Neodiprion lecontei: one gene and its partner. The protein of the gene in region 1 interacts with the protein of each later gene in a pairwise test. Links are inferred from orthologs where the notes say so. Each region holds a gene or a part of one and is shown on either strand. Other genes may lie near its edges. The genes, in order: GPN-loop GTPase 1 and GPN-loop GTPase 2.

Region 1 (7,814 bases):
ATATTCGACGAAGTTTCTCGATCCAAGCAAGTTCCTCGTCATTTCAAAATAAGCCATTGATCTTAGATTCACTGATTTTGTCAATGCATACAAACGATTTCAAGTCAAACACTTTGTAACAATGAAAATGCATAACTCTATTGACATAGACAATCAGAGATAATTACAAACCAGAATCTGAATATTCTTCATTTGACAATTCATCCATAGAGAGTATATCTTCGTCATCTTCATTTTCTGATTCACCTAATTTGTTCCAGTCCTGATCACCTGTTTCAGTTGAATTATTGCTTTCATTCACTTTATCTGCCTCTTTCCTCTGAGCCTCCAGAATACCATTTAAAATTGGTAAACCAAAAGCCAAAGTTTTTCCACTTCCTGTTTCAGCGGCACCTAAAATATCTCTCCTTCCCAAAATTGCTGGAGCCAAGGTCAGAGCCTGAATTGGTGTCGGAGCTTGAAAACCTTGGTCAGCCAATGCTTTTACCAATATTTCAGGTACACCCAGCGAAGTCCATGAATGTACGTTTATATCTGATTTTAGATTGTCCAGATTGATCAGACATCCATCCTCTGCGTCAACCTCATGCCCGTTTTTATCCAAATTAGATTCGCTATCGGATCCAATACCAGACTCTTCTTCAATTAGATCAGATTGCTTTATACCACGTTTATCGTCGAATTTTTGCTTCTTCTTCTTCGGCTTCACTTTCTCTCCTTTCACAGCTGCTCTAAGTTTTTTCTTTTGAGCTGAATGCTCGTCTTCCTCGTCATTGTCAATCTGGTCATCGAGTTTCTGAGCCTTTTTCTTCTTGTTACCCTTGTTTGTTAAATATGATTCAATTTTCTTGTTATTAATATTAAAGAAAATTGGCAGAGCTATTGGTTATTCTCTGTAATGTTACTGACTACACGTCATAAATCAATCAACTAAAACTATGCTGTAAGCAGATTTTCCTTTCATGCACTGCGAAAGTTCGTTAATATTGTCCAGATACTGTAAGTTTTACAAATTTCTCAATCCCTTCAATATCCTTAATATGTATCATCTGTTATCGGTAGTGATTTAACTCTCGAAAGAAGAAGTGCTGCTCTATCGTACCAGAGTTATCTTGATATTTATTTCGTGTGCTTGTACATAATATTGAGACCATTGTTCGGTGAAAGGTATAGTATTAGAGATATTTAAAATTATTTCAATATGCAGGAAACCATTTACCTTGTCTAATTTGTCATCGGAGCGAGTTGCTTTTCGTTTTTTGGTTCCTTTTTCGAGACTGTAATCCGTCAATTCTTCAATTCCGATCAGGCCGTCAATACCTTCAGCAAAAAAGGCACCCTCCAATTTTAACGGTTTCCACGTCTTAGATTTATCCTTTTTGATTTTCCCCATTGCTTGTTTGTTTCGACTAAACATAACCTCGATTTGCGAGGAAAGAAACGCGCATATCACGACGAACACGTGCGAGCATTGAATTCGAAGCGAGTCAGATGACAGGGAAGTATAACTATATTATATAACCTAACTACCTAACTATAAAATTGAACCAAGCGGTGAAAATATGCACTAGAGTTAGTAAGTTATGCTGTACATAACGCAGTATCGGGTGATTTTGTTTTTGTAATTTTAATTAATGTATAAAATGAAATTTTGTCTACAAGAAATTTGTGAATTTGCTTGCACAAAGCCAAGCAATAAAAACTTCATTGGAGGTGAGGGTTTTAAATGCTGGACACGTGATAAAATGTGGACAAGTACCAATCAGTGGTTGCAATGTTATAAGTGTTTTAGCTTTTTGTTTACAAACATTAATTATTCATTATATTAAAAATAATCCCTATGAAATAACTGGTCAAATAATAAACGACGGTCGAATAATTGGAATGAGTTCTTCTTATAAGGCAGGTCATTCGTAAACACGTCGCAGTATTACTCCATTGCAACCGGTAAGATATTTTGTCACATTCATAACCTATAACAGTTATTTTATTTTTCCAACAATTAATTTATTAAAATCGATTTTTATTTTTACAGCAATGATTTGAAGAGCTTGCCAATGATTACTTGCACTCATAAAAAATGTGTATGGATTGGCTTCATGAATCTTCATTAGAAAAATAGAAGGCAAGCCATTACATGAACATGAGTGTCTTTTATCGGCGAAAAAAAAAATTTCCATGCTTAAAATATAAGGGAACAAAAGAAATTTAAGCTGGAGATGTTAACAACACTGAATCGATGGATTTTAATGAAAATTTACAGCTGTCTGAAAAGCAAGAAGTACAATTTTTTGCTCTAGCTTTACACGTGTAAATTTTACGCTGACATTTTATTTTTACATTTTTATCATCAATTTTTGACCTGATTTTTTTACACATATATCACTATTACAAATTCCTATTATTTGCATTACATATTTTTTCAAAGCCTGATTGCATGTTTTACAAATAATCATGTTTTATGAAAGAGTATTAAACTGCTACATAAATTGATTTTTAAAAACATTACGCTTTTTTGTCAAATCTAATTATGAAATTATTATTAATAAATTATTTCACAATTTCAATGATGTTGTGTTTTTATTTTATAATATTCTTTTCTCTCTTTCTGTTTTATTTACAGAATTACAAGACATGAGTATATCCAAGTTTCAAGCAATAACAATAGTGCTATCATTTGTTCAGGAAGAATTCTAGCTGTTTTTAGTAATCAAAAGTCCTCAGTCTTTCTCGATAAACTAGAAAAAATTGATGTTAATCCTCTTCAGAACTGCTGTAAGAAAATAGTCGAACAATATTAAATGGAGTTGCTCAACTACTGAATTTTATTCTGTTGGGAGAAAGAAAGACAATTTAGAATTACAGGAAGTGATCCAAGCTATAGATTATTTACTTATAGTAAAAATAAGAACTCGATTGGTAGTACAAATCATTAAAGTATTTTTATCCAACTGTGATAAGTAATACTTATACTAGACATGGTTTAAAATGAACCCACAGCATGTGAGCTTTATGAAAATTCCACACAGTTCAAAGTTGTTGAATGCAGTCTTATTATTGCACACAATAATCCTTAGCTCGGTTGCTCACCTGATGCTATTGTATTCGATGATTTTAAATCTATAAAAATAATTGAAATAAAATGTCCTCTCCTTTTTTTTTTATCAAGACTCAATTCTTCAGTACCTTCAGCTGTCAGTACCTTGTTTATAAGTGATCTCCTACGTATTCTTTCTTCTCTAGAATTTACATGACGAGTATATTTTGTAGTTGATCCTGGAGGAATATTTTGAGAAGGAACACTTATTTTCTTAAGTTAAGAATGAGTCGAACCAACAGCTATTACATGATGGTAAAAATTGTCTTTGTTAAAATGGAGTGAAAAGATCTTATACTGGTCATTACACTTTTTCCAATTCTCAACACTGGTCCAAGCTACGCGACTATCGCTTTTGTATTTATCACCAAAGTTGTTGATTCTATCGACGAAATCTTTATTGGGATGTGGAAGATGGAAAAACTTGATTTTTTCATCACCATAAGCTTTACATTGACAATCAAACACACAGCAATACACGTTACTTTTATTTTTTCGCGCAGGGAATTCCATAATCAAAACAATGACTTGGATCGACTATTCACTTTTTAAATCTTAATTATTAATCGAAAAACTAAAAAATAATATTAACATTTCCACATAAACAAATACATAGTCAGCTGTTAGCAATTCGAGCTACGCGCTCACGGTCAGATGTTGAATTTGGTCACTAGATAGCGTATCCGAAGACCACCTAGAATAAGATACCTATATCTAGAGTTGAACAACAGTTTCCCAATTGACACGCTTGTCGAATTCGAAGAAAATAACAGGTAGAGACTTAATAGATAATTTCCTAAAAATACATAAAAGCACTGATATATTATACATTTCAGTGAGGACTCTTAGCTTTCCAGGCCTGAGTTACACAATTTTTGATTGAGGACGTACCGGTATCTTTCGAGTCTCGTCAATATTTACAATAACTCCTTTTGTACGTATTAGGTTTGATTAATAACGTGTTATTTGTCGGTGTAAAACGTCGAGATACAAGTAGCCAATAATAATGCGTTGGATTGTAAGAACCTCTTGACAAATTAATCGTAAAAAATTCAACGCAAAAAAATCCTAACCTCTGATTCTTTTATTATGTCCAACCTCCAAAGCTCGAAATTGGACTAGCATTTTCCTACAATTTAAGCTTGTCTAGGTAGCTTTAAATTTCTTTAGCCATGGGAATCTTATCTGGCATTCTAAAAGATTCTAGATCACCTGAAGGAATCATTTGAAATCTATTTCAAATCACGATAAGATTGTGTCCGATGTCTCCAAACCTATGGGAATTTGAAGTGGATTTCCAAATGTACACCTGGAAATTTTCAATAACACAGTGAAATTTAACGTCGTTAAGCTTCAATCGCATTTTACTTTAATTGAGTGTGGAATTGCAGATTTGCGAAAAATTATCTGTGGTTTTAGATACGATTTCTGTGATGACTTTTACCATTTTTTGTTTTAGAATTAGCCAATATGTTCAAGACTGACACTGTAACCGAAAGTGAAAAACAAGGAGATGGCAATGATGACATGGAAATTGATGTTAAAAATGCGTCAACCACTCAGCCAATTCCAGGTGCAAGGCGAAAGCCAACTTGTATAGTCGTCCTTGGAATGGCTGGTTCAGGAAAAACAACTTTTGTCAAAAAAATCACGTCCACTTTGTATAACACTGGTAAACCATATGTTATCAATCTGGATCCGGCTTGTTCCGAAGTCCCTTACCCAGCCAATATAGGTGAGCTCAGTTCTAGTTACATTGAGTTTGCTGTACAATTCCATGGTAATTTTGAAATTGTGATATATATTGAATTTTGTGAAAATCCTATGTTTCATACCATGCCTGGAAGTTGTGAAAGAAAGTTCCAATGCTTATAAAATCCTATAAAAACTGTAAAACTCAGAATTCTTAATATCATGACAAGAAATTTGATTTTTCGTGCTAAATTTAAACCTTTTTTTTTAACTCAATTAACAAAAAAACATGAAAATTTTCAAAAGAAAAGTAGAGTCGTGGCAAAGAGGATAAATTATCCAAGAATAATCTATCCTCATTTGATACAAATCAGTCGAGCTGTTTCTGCGACATCATGGGCACTGAAAAACGTGTCACTGAGCAAAACGGTTTATCCTAATGTGAATAACAATCTTTCCTATTGTCTGATTTTAATAGAGAAAACGTTGATGGAACTTAATCTGCAGACATTTGAATGAAACGAATCTTAATCAAATTGCATAATTGGTTGTTGAGATATAAATTCCCAAAATTCTAGCCATCTACTTGTATATATCTCCTCAATAAACTTTTTAATAAAGATAAATGCAACAATTCGGGACAAGAATAATATAATAATAATATTAATAATAATCACTACGAACACTCGCCATATGTGATAGAGTTGGTTCTCATGAGCCGTTAGGGTTGTATGAAGCAAGATAGGGGATGGATCGGCGACCATCATTATGTGTCTGCGGCCGTCTTAAGATGTTCAATAGTTGCTCGATAAGTCAACCATTTTTTCAGACATTAGAGACACGGTCAACTACAAGGAGGTCATGAAGCAGTATGGGTTGGGCCCAAACGGTGGTATTGTTACGGCACTGAATTTATTCTCAACAAAATTTGACCAGGTGATAAAACTGATTGAAAAGGCAGGAGAAGAACACGAATTTGTTATATTGGATACTCCTGGTCAAATAGAGGTTTTCACTTGGTCAGCCAGCGGCACGATCATCACTGAGGCATTGGCTTCTGAATTTCCAACTGTGATTGTCTATGTCATGGATACTGTGAGGAGCGTCAGCCCAGTTACCTTTATGTCGAATATGCTATATGCATGTTCTATTCTTTACAAGACCAGACTTCCATTCGTTATAGCAATGAATAAGGTAAATTGAGAAAAATACAAATAATTCAAGTAATCGTTGATTAGTACAAATTTTGCAGTTTTCAATGCATGTACACTTCATCAACACTCGATTAGTAGATTTCATTTGAGATTTTATGGTTACAGATAGATGTTGTTGAGCACAGCTATGCAGTGGATTGGATGCAAGATTTTGAATCGTTCCAAGAAGCCTTGGAATCAGAGACTAGCTACATAAGTAACTTGACACGCAGTTTGGCACTAGCACTTGACGAATTCTATTGTCACCTGCGCAGTTGTGGTGTCTCGGCATTGACCGGGGATGGAGTTCCCCGCTTCTTCAAGCTGATTGAAGAAGCGGCCAAAGAATATGAAACGTAATTTTGTACTGAAATGTTTAAAAATTCTCAAAAATTCACGGCTTTTGACAGAAAAGTGAGAAAATTCTCGACTATTCATCCTTTGCATTAAAACTTGGCTATAATGTAATATTTCACTCATTTGCAACGTTATTTAAGCCAATATTTCACTTAATTCGTTTAAAAGATATTCTGAACACGAAACTAACATTACCCTACTTTATATTTCAACGGGTACCATTCAACTTCTGATTGATAAGATTATCAAAATTGTTGAGAAATATTTATGAGATTGAAATTGGAAACGTTCACGTAATGGATGTGTAGGAAAGAGAATTTAGCCATTAAAATTACGAACTACACCTTCATAAGTATTTCGTTTATTGTATACTTTCTATACTATTTAACGAATGTTCCAGAGACTATAAGAAAGATTGGGAGAGAATCCGCGTGGAGAATGCAAAAGCACAGGAAGAAGCAAGGAAAGCACAATTGAAAAAGGCAGCTGCGGAAGGTTCCGGCGATGTTGTTCCATTGGTCAGTACAGTTAATGTTGGCCGTGAGATAGCAGATATCTATCTGAAACACCCAGCCAACGAGTCTAGCGATGATGAAGAAGGCGAAGAGAATTCTGGAGATCCAGGAGTGGACGAGGATGAACGAAAAGAGGCAGAATCTTTTAAAACTTTTCTTGCAAAACAAAAAGCCGAACAGGACAGACGAGCGAAGTCCCAAAAAAGTGAACCGAGTACCAGCAAAGGAGGCTGACATATTTCTCAGCATAGAATACACCATTCGAGAATAAAGTTGGTTGATCATAAAATTCATTGATACCAAATGTTTATGGCCCTTGTACCATGAAAATCTTTGTACAAAAATAAACTTTAATACCTATCAATTTGGTTGATGGAAATCCATTCTAAAATACCTAAAACAACTTTAAAATTGACGGTAATAATTTTAAACAAGTATACATAACTAGGTTATAGTCGTAAACAGCCTGTAAAATGATGCAGTGGTTTGTATTGAACATTTGCTTTGACAGAGTAGACTGCACTGAAATAAGCTTCAAGACTACAGAAAACAACAACTGACATGTGTTCAGTTTGAGAAGCCAAAAATCGTGAGGGAAGCTCTTCACTTGACACATCGTTGTAGCGAATGAAACACATGGTACTGACGTGTAAAGACAATTTATTATTTGAAAAAAATAGTTTTATTTACATGATGGATTGGATGGTTTATGTTAATCACCATCATCTTGCTCTGGCTCGTCGAAGTCCTTCATTTTGACATCAGCTTCCTCACCATATTGGATGATATTATCAATAGTCAGCCTTATGTCAGCAATATTTTCTTCGTCTTTGATATTGAGTGGATAAAATCTAACTAAGCTGTAGTCCTCGATCAATCTTCCAAGAGCTTCAGTGAGATTTCTATACTTTTGGTTCCAGTGACCCTTTTCCATATCAGCCAACAAGCTATGTGGATCTG
Region 2 (6,420 bases), on another chromosome or scaffold:
TTGATAACGAGAAATTTATTATCATATTCACTGACCTGGCGTGAAGATCCATCCTCGTTTTGTCCTGATTTCATCATCAGCAATAATTCTTACAGTTTTACAAGCGCTGCCAAAATTTTCAACGAACCATTGAATATCAGTTTTCCGTCTTATGTCACTGACTATCCATATGGGTATATTACAAGCTGAAAAAAAGAATATATCACTACATGAAACAACATCAATTATAAAATAATACATCGTGTTATAAATGCGGAAACTAGGTGATTTCCATGGAGTATTGCCGTAAACACAGCATGAGCCAAGGCGACGTTCTAATAACACGAGTCTAACATAGCCTACTCGCGCATACATACTATTTCGAGCAACACCTATGAAGGAAAGTGTGATTTCAGAATCAGTTGAATGTAACAAGATAATTTAAAAGATATAGAAAGTTCAGCCATGCTCTGTCACATCACTGATTGTGCAAAAAGTTACCTGAAAAAAACTGTAATTCTGAAAATCATCTGAAGGTTTTCTTTCTCACACTGATTGGGAAAAAGGTATTTTACATACACTTTATAGGTTTAAAAAATCGAAGTATCAAAGGAGTTGCAACAAGATTTCGATACGCATTATTCGTACACGAAATACCTGTTTCTATGACGGTAAAGTGGGTTAGCAAATGCGCATGTGCAAAGTACAGAAAAGACTAATTTTGACTCCTCGCAGTTTTCTCAGGAGTTAAAGGCAGTCGTTTTTTTACTGCGCATATGCGCTCTTGCAAACAAATCTGACATTATGCGACCCTAACCTCAATGTTGTGCTTCGTGAAAAACCATGTAACATATTCTTGTTACATAAAAACTTGTGTGTAACAAGGAGGCAATTGTCATTTCACCTCGCATATTTTCAATATTTGTCTTTGGCTCGAATGAGTACTCACCTACAACTCATAATGGAAACTTGCGCTTGGCCCGAAAAGATCGAATTTACCTCCGTGTTACACAATAATTTATTTTTGTTTTACAAACAGCAAAGTTATAGAATATGTGATTTGTGAAAGAATGGTAAGGTGATATTACCATTATACATATCGATAGCAGCACGACAAAAGTAGCCAATATCTTTGTTCCTCATATTTTCACCCCATGCAATCATCTGTCCCCTGTATTTCTCTTTGTATTCTCCATCTCCAAGTAATTCTTTGAAATCTAGGTTCAAACTTTTGGCCCAATGAATTTTTATAGGTCCAGAAATCTTTATCGTCACGCACGGCAAATGGTTTAATCTGTGGAGTAGAGTAAATTGCAATTTTTTTTTTCAAAAGAAATACGAGAAAGTAAGTAAAATTAGAATGTGTAAATATGATCAAAGAAAATGAATAATAACCTGGTACGGATGCACAATTTATAGGCGAATAGAAATTAATACGTACGATCTGTGTTGATGTTTATGGTTTTACGCTATAACCTGACAATTGTTAAATTTGACATCATCACGTCGAGTCATGCATGTGCGTACGTGAATCCTGTTACATCACGTTATATTGATAGACGTATATTACCTTTGCTGTAAAATGTCAGTAATGTAATCCTTGCCGGACTTTCTTTTTCCACTGAACAGTAAAATACGACGAGGTTTCACTGAAAGAAATATTGAATCTCCGCTAGCATCTGCGCAGTCACGACTATCTGCAGCTGCCATTTGTAATTGGTATAGAGCTTATAGCAGATTTTCAATCATCGCAATCAGGTTGTCAGTATTTCAGTCTCAGTATGACGTCGACGGTAGTTCGCAATAGACGGGACTAACTTGTATTTTTAAACGTCCCAATACGAGAAAGAGCGATAAGGATAAAGACTGCTAACTTTATGAACTTTGCTTCGCAGGTATGGGCATGCTAATGCGAGCTGAAAGCCGGCGAGGGGTTGCAGTATTTTGCTATACCGACGCGATTTAAAATTATGATTCCATAGGATGGGTCGATACTGCAGGGGGACGATTATGTAATTTCACTTGACTAAACTTTGCAAACTAATCAGAATGCTTGAATGGTGGAAAATGTGAAAAGTGAAATTACAGAATTGAGCCCGAGGCTGAACATCTTTAGATATCTTCAGTCCCATAGTCTACGGCGATAATGCGAACAAAAGGATGAGTGGAATTTCTATCGAAATTGTCCCTCATGGGTTCTACCTAGTGCTACCCTGCCTGTATTTGTGATTGTAATTCAGTGGATTGTAGCGTATTGGGCTTATTGATGGGCTTAATGTAAAGCAGGCTACGTTCAATCGAAGGTTCTTACTCAGATGAGTACTGTGAACTCAACGAGGAATTTTGTTAATTTGTCTGTGGTACGAATAGACTTATCTCCAATCAGAATGCGTCAATAACATGTCTCTAGTTGATACCGAAGTTAACCTAGAAGCCGGAGCGGCTGCGGCGAGTCCGAATTTAACGTATGCGAGTGAAGACAAATCTACGGGGGTCGTGATCAATGGGGTACACACCGATATCGTAATAAAAAACTACAGGTAGAGAATTCGCCAGAGATGGTGGACAGTAACGTTCAAGTGTATTTTAACCCCAAAACAATATAAATTATTTAAAAAAAAAAATTTTCAGGAATCGTATGTTCTTGATTCTTACTCAGTTTGAAAAATTTGGTTCCATACTGACTGTGACCAAAGAAGAAGCTGCCAAGAGCGATGTTTACACAATAAAGTATGTATTTAAGTCACTGCTAGTGATTAGTATTACTGGATATACAGAGAAAGTTTTTTGCAGAACCTTATTGGGCAAGGATGATGATCAAATACACGCAGCAGCTCGGTACATTGCTGAGCAAATAGCTACAGAAAAGCCATTGCTAATATCAATTTGCTTAAAGGATTATGGAGTACAAACTGTGAAACATATAGTGGCTGCTATCAGGAAAATATAGTCTTTGATAGTCTTTGTGATTCTTCTTATAAATTGAAGAATCTTCATTCATCGATTGCTCATTTATAACACAATGACCTCGATATTTGGACAATTAGTAATTGGCCCACCTGGTAGTGGGAAAACTACTTTCTGCGATGCAATGTCAAAGTTTTTGACGAAACTGGGTAGAACAGTTGCTGTTATTAACATTGGTGAGCGTTGGGTTACATTATTGACTAGTCATTCCAGAAGCTCCCAAGCACATCTTTAAATCCTTGAAATTGCCACAGAATTGTTTATCTATTCTACCTGTGTTTCATAAATTATGCTCATTCTCTTTAATTCTTACATTGGATAAAATTTCAAAGAAGTTTAAATCAGAGTATGAGATTATATCAGTTTTTAATATTTTGGTTCTTTTTCTTTGTTATACGAACAGAAATAATTTGTTATTATAATGAACAAATGAGCATTTCATTATCACAAGCAGTTCAAAAAAAGTTTTGATATTGTTGTTTACTGGTACGATCTTTAAAAAAATTTGTGCATTCCTACCAGTTATTCAAATCTCTAAGAGAATACAATATTCAAAAATTTAAAGATTGCATAGTTATATTATTTTTTGTTCTTTGTGACTGCACTTAGATCCAGCGAATGAAAACATGAAGTATGTCCCATTGGTAGACATTTCGGAGCTGATTAAGCACGACGAAGTAATGACGACTTACAGACTAGGACCAAACGGTGCCTTGATTTACTGCATGGAGTTTTTAGAAGCGAATGTGAATTGGTTGATTGAAAAAATTCTCAATCTCAAAGGTTACTACTTGATCATCGATTGCCCTGGCCAAGTACGTTGATGTTAAACGTTTTTTAAATGAAGTTCTACTCCTCAAAATTATAGCATAACGTCAATATTTCATTTTCTAAATACTCATTCTTTTTCACGAGAAAGCAATATTTATGTCTTTATGTGTCTTATTTGTGAAATGGGATATTTAAAGAAATTATGTACATATTCATTTATTTTGACACGTAATATCTGTACAATATATTCAATGTAATATAATAATTCGAAATTTAAGGTAGAGCTGTACACCCATCACAAATCAATTAGTCGCATAGCAGAGAGATTGGAACAAAATCTTGTTAGACTGTGTTGCGTACAGCTAATTGATTCACATCATTGTAGTGATCCAGGTGAGTATTTTTTATTACTCAGGTCACTCGCAAAGTTTTGCAATTTGTGCACGTCGTGGTCTTGGTGATACCATGCCCTGGTACAGAGAGAAAATATGCAAAAATTTTTACATGGAAAAGTAACGAAAGAGTACGTTTGTCTCAGGTGATTGACAGGCTTCAAAATCTGAGTCATAGTTCTCGCCTTGAAACTTAGCTCCTACATTGTGAGCACACTCCAGAACATAGAGCAAAGGAGCCTATTTACTCAGGCTTGACTAACTCTTCTGGATCACCCTCCTAATAGTCGTAACCCAGGTCCCTGTGGCTGCCCTATTCCCAGAATTCGACAGCTAGAAGTAATGCATTTTCCCAGTAATACTGAGCTTTTTGCCGAGCGTGACAGAATATCTACCGATATTCCGAAAGAAAAGTGGATGGGCTGGTTTAGTTACTGGATACGGCGAATGGAGAAATGTATGCAGTGTCGGGCAAATTACTTCGAGAAACTGTTAATAGTACGTTCATTTTGCAAAACTTTTCGACTGACTTACTTATCAATACAGGATTATTTAGTCAAAGATTTATAATTGTTTTGTTGTTATTACAGGAAAATATTTGTCATCCTTAATGCTCTGTACCAGCACAATGCTACATCTAGGATTACCCCACATTAATGTTTTGACGAAGATAGATGAAATGAAGAAATTCAGTGATCGCTTGGCATTTAATTTTGAATTTTATACGGAAGTTCTTGATTTACAATATCTTTTGGAAAAGCTCAATGAAGATCCCTTCACTTCAAAGTAATTATTCATTTGTGATTACATGGTGATGGGTGTTCAGATCATTTTATTTATGTAAACATATCTAAAAACATAGACTTTATCTTTTTCGCAGATGCAAGTATTTAAAAGATCTGTGGTTAATAGTATAATTAATTTGCAGGTATAAAAAATTGAATGCCGCTTTGGTTTCACTGGTTGAAGATTACAGCTTAGTGAGTTTTATACCATTAGATACCTCCAATCAGTCTCTTCTATTGCAAGTAAAGAATGCAGTAGATAAAGCAAACGGTTACATTTTTGGTGGCAATGAACCAAAAGACGTTCAAACATTACTCGCATGTGCTGTTGGTGCCATTAGTGAAACTGAAAAAATGTCTACAATTGATAATTATCTATAAGATTGATCTCCTGAACGTATTAATTTACAACCAATTAGAATATATTTTGGTATAACAAACTAGTAATCAGATATTCTACTGGAATGGCTTTTAAGATATACGAATTTTAGATATAAACGATAATAAAATTCAGTTAAGTAAATTCTCATTTGTTATTTGCTTATGAAATAGTATCAAATGTATAATAAAATTGAAGATGTATCATTCACTTTTTTATATTTGAATGTATGGAATAGTTAATAAAACCTGTGAAAGGAATCACCTGAAGAAAAGTTTTAATTTATTTTCCGATTCTGCAGTTTCGTATATAATAAGACTTATCAACCTACTAGAGAATGAACGTTTTTAAAAGTTAGTGCTTGCATGCATTCGTAAAAACTTGAAAAGATATGGACTAAATGTTGATGCGCCATTAATTAACACATACCAGCTGGAAAATGGAAATATCTTTTAACACATTGATCTTGAATCAAGAAAGGGCTGTCATTACACAAATCATTGAAATGCTCGACGTTCAGGTTTACTACCAATCAGTTATTTACAACAACGTTGAAGCGTTTATGATACTGTGAGAACAACTTTGTTCACCTGATAATCTGACATAGTTATTTGACAAAGTAGTATTATTGATGACACAGTTATGAACGACATACTGATTGATTACTTGAACGTTTGCAATGGTATGTCATCAATTCCTTTAGGAACTTTGAGTCCACGCCTGTTATATCCAAAGGCTGCTTGAATAATTTGAATTGCAGCTTCGACTGTTTTTTTAACGTCACGTTCGGTACCAATGTGTGGATTGACCTCCACTAAATCTACAGCATTTAGTCGACCTGTATTATAGATTTCTTCCATCAAGTGAATCCCTTCTCTCAAAGTAAGACCCCCTCGAACTGTCAAGAAAATAATCGCAAACTAACATGTACCATTTATCAATACTCACAAAATTCATGGTTTCATCAAACACTCATTTTGTTCATATAATATGTCTTTTACTACCTGGGGTTCCAGTGCTTGGAGCTTCCAAAGGATCGAGTGAGTCAATATCAAAGCTGACATGTAAAGATTTGTTATTTTCTGGATCTACTTTAGATAATGCCATATGTACAACGTCATGTATACCTGAAAATATCAGACAAGTT

The links.
Region 2: the proteins of GPN-loop GTPase 1 (region 1) and GPN-loop GTPase 2 interact in binary tests that used the Homo sapiens proteins (3 or more experiments, as listed by UniProt). The link is inferred for Neodiprion lecontei from reciprocal best matches to the Homo sapiens genes GPN1 and GPN2.

Annotation. Positions count from the first base shown.
Region 1 is NC_060262.1:18,441,129-18,448,942, forward strand, and holds GPN-loop GTPase 1, read left to right. Parts: upstream 1-1,576; 5' UTR 1,577-1,634; coding exon 1,635-1,713; exon of another isoform or gene 1,714-1,947; intron 1,948-2,035; exon of another isoform or gene 2,036-2,125; intron 2,126-3,770; exon of another isoform or gene 3,771-3,870; intron 3,871-3,933; exon of another isoform or gene 3,934-4,031; intron 4,032-4,131; exon of another isoform or gene 4,132-4,247; intron 4,248-4,556; coding exon 4,557-4,832; intron 4,833-5,618; coding exon 5,619-5,983; intron 5,984-6,108; coding exon 6,109-6,338; intron 6,339-6,739; coding exon 6,740-7,088; 3' UTR 7,089-7,218; downstream 7,219-7,814. Other genes in the region: ATP-dependent RNA helicase DDX24, read right to left, coding at 172-820, 1,220-1,417; GPN-loop GTPase 3, read right to left, coding at 7,567-7,814. UniProt on the Homo sapiens protein: Small GTPase required for proper nuclear import of RNA polymerase II (RNAPII). May act at an RNAP assembly step prior to nuclear import.
Region 2 is NC_060265.1:18,519,687-18,526,106, reverse strand, and holds GPN-loop GTPase 2, read left to right. Parts: upstream 1-1,980; 5' UTR 1,981-2,519; intron 2,520-2,610; 5' UTR 2,611-2,709; intron 2,710-2,762; 5' UTR 2,763-3,001; coding exon 3,002-3,122; intron 3,123-3,555; coding exon 3,556-3,761; intron 3,762-3,995; coding exon 3,996-4,110; intron 4,111-4,699; coding exon 4,700-4,895; intron 4,896-5,037; coding exon 5,038-5,275; 3' UTR 5,276-5,766; downstream 5,767-6,420. Other genes in the region: phosphomevalonate kinase, read right to left, coding at 36-185, 1,068-1,273, 1,550-1,689; arginase, hepatic, read right to left, coding at 5,936-6,171, 6,278-6,400. UniProt on the Homo sapiens protein: Small GTPase required for proper localization of RNA polymerase II and III (RNAPII and RNAPIII). May act at an RNAP assembly step prior to nuclear import.